Linked DNA regions of Rattus norvegicus. The protein of the gene in region 2 interacts with the protein of the main gene of each other region in a biochemical or structural test. Links are inferred from orthologs where the notes say so. Each region holds a gene or a part of one and is shown on either strand. Other genes may lie near its edges.

Region 1 (3,749 bases), on a different chromosome or scaffold from region 2:
CCTCTCCCTCTAGCCCTCCCCTGTCATTCCAGGCACTGACCACCTTTTTTTCCTAGTTACTGACAGCTTCTGTGGGCACTAAGCAGGGTTTTACTAGTTGCCATAACAATCTCTTAGCATTTGATAAGTGAATCTGACAAGCCGACACTGCCATTTAAACATTTTTTTTCTGCTATGATTTCAAGATCTCTTTATTTCTAGGTCTATTCCGTTATTACACTATTTAGAATTAACACTGTTGTAACTTTTTGGATACCAAATAGTCTTTTCGATTTTTCTTTTTTAACCTTGATGGGGTATTGTTTACTTTCCTTATGTGTTTTATCCTGCTCTCTTTACTGTTTACTGCAATTCCTTCTGTTAAGCCCATGTTCCGGGGCTGCCACCAAGAAAAGATTGTCACTGTTACGTTTCCTCCCCGTGTATCGCAAATAATTTATAGCAACCTCACTCACTACACCGCACGCTTTCTTCACACCCGTCCTCTCGAAAGAATTTCCTTCCAGGGAGAGGAAGAGCTAGGAGGGACACAGGAATCGCGGTAGGAAGGCTCGGTGGCTCCCCGTGGCCGGGCACTTACGTCTGCAGTGCCCAGGCCTGAGCCACAGGCGTGTGCTCCGCGCTAGTCGGTGACAGCACCGGCCGCGACTCTGGGTTCTCACGGCCGACTGAGGGCGACTTCCGCCGCGGCCCGTCGAGGCTCCGCGAAAACCGTCCGGGCCGCCCAATTAGGGGCTTTCCGACCCCCGCAAGGAGCCCGAGGGGCGGGGGCCGCGGCCGCCTCGCGGAGGGCACCCCGCCCCCGCCGCCGTTGCGCCTCTGGGCGCACGCGCAGCTGCCGCCGCTCCGCATTTAGTCCGAGATGGCGTCCCTCGCGCCCCACGGTTCTCCTCCCGAAGGCGGCTCCCACCCCGCGCAGCCAGGAGGCCCCAGGGCCCGCCTCACGCAGGCTCCCGAGCACGACTACCCCTAAAGTGGAACGGGAGTGGCCGGATTCGAGAGCGAGGAAAAGCAGCAACCGGAAGGGCTTGACGGGTCGCGGCGCTAGGAGCCCAGGCCTCAGAGGAAGAAGAGGGCGGGAGCAAGCCGAGGTTTGCCGAAGGCGGCTTTCTCGAGCTGCGCGGGGTGGGGAGGAGGGGGTGTGGCGGAAACTGCCGAGCTTTCCCGAAGGCGGCTGCGTCCGAGTTGCCCGGATGTAGTTGGTGGAGCGGCGGCGGCTGTAGCAGCGGCAGGAGGCGGCGAGAAGGACTCGGCGGCGGGGGGGAGGAGGGCAGGCGGCGGCGGAGCAGGAGGAGGGAAGGTGCTGGAGGCGTTCGCTCTCCGCGGGGACCGGAACACGGCCTCTCGCCCCCTCCCCCCGGCTCGCGCTGCCGCCCTGTAGTTGGCACCTCTGTCCCGGCTGACCCTAAGCGGTGGTGACGGAGGGAGATGACCGGGGACCGCCGGCGCCAGTAACGGGGAGGTGCCGCGAGCCGCCGAGGGTGCGCCGAGTCCTGGTGCCGGGGCTGCCCGCCGCCCGCCCGCCGCCCGCGCGCGCGCCCGCCCGCCTCGCGGCCGCTCTCCCCCTCCCCGACACACACACACAGCCGGGCATTGATGGTAATGTATGCGAGGAAACAGCAGAGACTCAGTGATGGGTAAATCGTCTTTTCGTTTCGGGCCGGGCCGCGGCGGAGGGCGGGCAGGCGGACGGGCGGGCGGGCGGGCGGGCGTCCTTATCGGGAGCTGGCCGCGCCGCCATTTTTGTTGTTAACCCTGATCGGGATCAGTCAGAGGAGGCGGCTGGCCGGGCCGGGCCGGGCGGACAGGCGGGCGCCCTGGGGACCTGGCGGGCTTGGCGAGCGGGCTGCTGCTGCGGCTGCGGCCCGAGTCCGAACCCGGGCCTTTGAGCCCCGGGAGCGTCCGCAGCGCACAGATCCGCGCCGGTACGTTTGTCGCCGGCCCGCGGGGAGGGGCGGACGGGAGACCCGCTTTCTTCCTTTCCCGGGATGTCTCTCACACTACGGTCCTTCTTTACTGTTTTTCAGCTGTCACGACCGGAGGGGGGACTCTCAGCCTTTCCAGGTACCAGCCGATCATGGGGTGGAGGGATTGAAGGGGTTGGAGGGGGAAGGGAGGGACTGCTACTCGAGCGCAGGCTTCAAAAGTCGCTACAGGCCCTTTGGTGCAACAAATCTGAAAGTAGCACCACTGGCCCGCTTAAAATTCCGTATTGGCTTTTATTAGCATTCTCCAAACGTGTCTAGGGACTTATCTTGAGAGCTGACTAGAGGAAGTTCAGGGTTTTGTTTTGTTTTGCCTTTTGGTTTTTGTTTGCTTGTTTGTTTTTAAGGAAAAAAAAAATACTCGGAAGCAGGAAGACCTGGCTAGGTTTGAGTGTGAAGGAGTCACTGAGGTGTAGTGATAGGTGACTTCGGAGGCACATTTGCTTACTATTCTATTGGGGAGCTGAAAGATAAATGTGAAAGTTTTAAAAGTATATGAACGGCCAGAGAGAAGTAACTTGAGTTACTCTCAGTAACGATACTCTTACCATTTTTTTTTTTTTAGCTCAGATTATTCTATTTCAAGGGAAAGGTTTTGTTTTTGCTTCAGTTAATTTAAACCTTCTGTGACTTAGTACTTCATTCTAATAGAAATGATTCTGGGTGTCTATTCCACTGAAGGTTTTGCATGTAAAGTTTTAAAGGTTTGCTGAAGTGTCCTCAGGATACTGTCTGAAGACAACAGAAGTAAATGCTTTATACTCTAATCACCTTTAAAAGAGAAAAGAATAGGAACAGGTCTGTGTCCCCCTCAAGGTTCTGTGGTCCAGGCTTGTGTCCAATTTTACTCCTGTCAGTCTTCTGAATGCTTGATTACACGTGAGAGCCACCAGCCTGGGAAGAGTGCAAGCATGTTTTCTAACCTGGTACAGGAACTTCTGGGATGTCAGAACATTTGCATCTGTCAAACATTATTGACCTCTCTCTCTCTTTCCCTCCCTCTCTCCTTCCCTCCCTCTCCCCCTCCTTCCTTCCCTCCCAACTGATACATTGTGTTCATCTTCAGACACCTGCAGTGTAAAACCATTATTTTGAGAGCATTTAGAATTATGCCTTCTTAGAAACATTGTTCATGAATCAGTTTGTTCTGGCACATATTGTTACTTTTAAAAGTATTTTATCCCTGAAAACTTATAAATTAGGGATAGTGCTTTATTTAAATCAAAAAAAGAGGAAAAACTTGTTTTTTAAAAAATATGGTTATTAAAATACGCTAATTTATAGATGTGCTTGATGTATTTATTAGTTATAGAGATTAAATGGATAGTAATTTAAGCTCTCAAAAAGTGATTTTAGTTTTGAAGGTTTTTTTTTCTAGTGGATCAGTGTGCCAAAATACTGCTTAAAAAGGTTTACATGATCGAGTAGGTTTTTTTCTTTGTGTGTGTGTTTGTGTGTTTTATGGTTGCATTTGTTACTAGGAGTTGCACAGTAACTTTTGATCATTTACATCGTCTCTGAATAAAGGAAGTACTGAAAATGGAAATTCTGAGTTTTAGTGTAAGGGAACTTGATATACCAAAACTCGTAATTTAAATTGAGAATTGAGTTTAAATTTCAATTTTTCTCTCTTTGGGGGGGTGATGTTTTACAGACACTTAAGTATTCGTCAAAGAGTCACCCCAGCAGTGGTGATCACAGACATGAAAAGATGCGAGACGCCGCAGATCCTTCACCACCAAACAAAATGTTGCGGAGATCTAA
Region 2 (3,291 bases):
GTCCTTTAATGCCTAACAAGGCCTGTAGCCATTTCATTTCTAATGTTAGTCATTTGTGCATTCTCCCTCCCTCCGTTTTGCTTCTGGTCTGGCTAATATTTGGTTTATCAGTTTTATTGGTATTTTTCAAAGAAACAACATTTGGATTCATAGGCTTTTCTCTTTTGCTTGCTTTAGACAGGAGATATGAAGGAAGACAGAAAGCTAATTGGTTTTTGGTTCTAATTCTCTTGTGGGTATTTTTGTTGTTGTTTAAAAATAAAATATAATCAATATTGAAAGTGTAAAATTTAAAGTGAAGCCTCACAGCTTCTGTTTTGAATACCTATTCTGACTTTAGTTCATTAAGTTGTATTTTTATTTTCAAGTTTTTCTTTAATAGTAAGGTTTGGATTTAAAGTTTCTTTTCCTTCTGGTTCTCTAAGTAGAAGCTTAGGCTATTATAATTTATTTTTGTTTTCTAGTTGTAAGCATTATTTAAGATCTTGTTTTGTGTGCACATGTGAACATGCATGAGTCACTACATGTGTATCAGGACACCTGTTGGAAGCTCTCCTTCCACAGTGGGATCTAGGAATCAAACTCGGGTCTGCTTGTGCAGCTAGTGCTTTTATTACCATGCAGGGCCTGAAGATTTTTTTAAATGTTAGGTATAGAATTGAGAATTGAAATAAAAGTCTATTTTTAAAATGGTATTGAGACAACTGGATGTCCACATAAATGAAAGCAGGGAATAGTGGTGGAATATCGAGTCTCCTGGCAGTTTTTTCAGGCAGGCCTTGAACTCCTGATCCTCCTGCTGAGTGCTGGGATTCAAGGCATGACCACCATGCCTTTTTTTTTTTTTTTGGTTCTTTTTTTCGGAGCTGGGGACCGAACCCAGGGCCTTGCGCTTCCTAGGTAAGCGCTTTACCACTGAGCTAAATCCCCAGCCCCCACCATGCCTTTTTTTAAATAAGTAAATGGCCACTTAGATCTGACTTGCTATGTTCTTTCTTTCATTTGTGTGGCTTGGTTTGGCCTGAGGATGTGCACAATGGAAGTTCCGTTTTCCTGAGCCACAACTCTGGCAGCAGCTACAGTCTTTCTGTCAGTTGACTATGCCAGAAACATGTCAGGAGAAATTTCTACCTGGAGTTTTATTAATTCACATTTTTTTCTACTATTGAAATTAATATTTGTTTGTAATTATAATTTTAATTTTAATAATTTTATTTATTACATTTTCTTATTGATTTACTTTATGGTTAGGTTTCGTTGTTGTTGGGTTTTTTTTTTTTTTTTTGGTAACTCAGTTAAACTTTTTTTTCTTTTTTCAGTTAAACTTCTTTTCCTAACTTTGCTATAGGATAATGCTATATATATATTCCTCATTCCCTGGGAGAAGTACTTTAAGGTCTTACTGATGCTTTTTTTATTTTTTGGTAGTAGACTCAATTATTTTCCAGCAAATGGTTTTTTGATGTATTCTTTTTCTTTCTATCTTTTCTTTCTTTTTTCTTCTTTTTTTGGTTTTTGGTACCAGGAGTTTCACTGTGTAGCCCTGTAGACAGAGCTGACCTCCAGCTCAGAGGATCTACCTGTATCTGCCTCCTGTGCTGGATTTAAAGGCATGCATTAACACTGGCCAGTTGCAAATCATTTTTTGAAAGTTGTTTGTCAGTTGCATTCAGAAATTTTGTTATTTTGGACATAAATATCTTTGCTATGCATTTGATAGCATTGTAAACAAGATCTTAACGTGAAATATCTTTCTTTTTCTTTAGGCATGGCTGATGGCAAACATTGTACTTTTCCACATCTACCTGGCAAAACCTTTGTTTATAATGCTTCTGAAGACAGACTGGAGTTGTGTGTCGATGCCGCAGGACATTTCCCCATTGGTCCTGATGTTGAAGATTTAGTTAAAGAGGCTGTAAGTCAGGTTCGAGCAGAGGCTACTACAAGAAGTAGGGAATCAAGCCCTTCACATGGGTTATTAAAACTAGGTAGTGGTGGAGTAGTGAAAAAGAAGTCTGAGCAACTTCACAATGTAACTGCCTTTCAGGGGAAGGGCCATTCTCTAGGAACTGCATCCAGTAACCCGCACATGGATCCCAGAGCTAGGGAAACTCTGGCTGTAAGAAAGCATAATACAGGGACAGATTTTAGTAATAGTTCCATTAAAACAGAGCCTCCTGTGTTCACAGCTGCTTCTAGTAATAGTGAGCTTATTCGAATAGCTCCTGGAGTGGTAACAATGAGAGATGGTAGGCAGATTGATCCCGATGTGGTTGAGGCCCAGCGAAAAAAATTGCAGGAAATGGTTTCTTCTATTCAGGCATCAATGGACAAGCACTTGCGGGATCAAAGTACAGAGCAAACACCATCTGATCTTTCTCAAAGAAAAGTAGAAGCTGTGAGTTCTTCTGTGAGGCCTGGGAATCTTCAGACTGGCTTGCCTGAATCTTTTTCTTTAACTGGTGGCACTGAGAATTTGAATACTGAAACAACTGATAGTCGTGTAGCAGATGTACTGGGAGCAGCATTTGCCACAAGGTCAAAAGCACAAAAAGAAAATTCCATGGAGGAACCTGAAGAGATGGATAGTCAAGATGCTGAGACAACTAACACAACTGAGCCGATGGATCACTCTTGATTTAATTTAGAGGCTAATAAAGGCAGATGTTTATTGTGAATATGTAATATTTGTTGGCTGGGCCACATAACTTGAGTAGTCATTAAAAATCTTGTACGTATATAATTCAAAGATTATATCTTGTTATTCAGTGCATGATAGCAAGTGTGTGATTGGCAATAGCTTTTAATATACTGCTGCCCAGGCTGGCTCTGAATTCTTGTAAATTAGTTTAGATCTTTTGAAAGGGTTTATTCCATGTATGTGGTTCATTGAAAGTTCTTTGTCATTTTTAATTCCATGAAAGTCTTAATTTTCAGACATGAAAATTCTCTTGCTAAATATTTGGTTTCTGCAGAGACCAGAATTGGAGAGGAAATGACAGTTGGTACACATTGTCATCAAGGTAGCCATCCTACATTTCATGAGAATGTTGATTTCAAGTTTACCTGAACTAAATGTATCTTAAAATACATAAAATACTTTGACTACTTAAAAGTTATAACGTTATAGAGACAGCTATTGTTGGCAAAAATATTTTGACAGTTGAGAGTGACACATTTTCCTGAATTGAGCCGAGTTGGGGAGAAGTATCTACCCTAGTATGATAAAGTCGGTGTGACTCAGTCTGTTGGTCAGAGCCAGTATGGCTAGTTCTATGCTCTTGTTGATAA

Evidence for each region.
Region 1: the proteins of Vcpip1 (region 2) and Wac form a complex in vitro, tested with the Homo sapiens proteins (2 studies listed by BioGRID). The link is inferred for Rattus norvegicus from reciprocal best matches to the Homo sapiens genes VCPIP1 and WAC.

Annotation. Positions count from the first base shown.
Region 1 is NC_086035.1:60,616,723-60,620,471, forward strand, and holds the start of Wac (WW domain-containing adapter protein with coiled-coil), read left to right. Parts: upstream 1-1,388; 5' UTR 1,389-1,596; coding exon 1,597-1,637; intron 1,638-1,722; exon of another isoform or gene 1,723-1,925; intron 1,926-2,027; coding exon 2,028-2,064; intron 2,065-3,620; coding exon of another isoform or gene 3,621-3,639; coding exon 3,640-3,749.
Region 2 is NC_086023.1:14,341,006-14,344,296, forward strand, and holds the end of Vcpip1 (deubiquitinating protein VCPIP1), read left to right. Parts: intron 1-1,766; coding exon 1,767-2,638; 3' UTR 2,639-2,719; downstream 2,720-3,291. UniProt on the Homo sapiens protein: Deubiquitinating enzyme involved in DNA repair and reassembly of the Golgi apparatus and the endoplasmic reticulum following mitosis. Necessary for VCP-mediated reassembly of Golgi stacks after mitosis.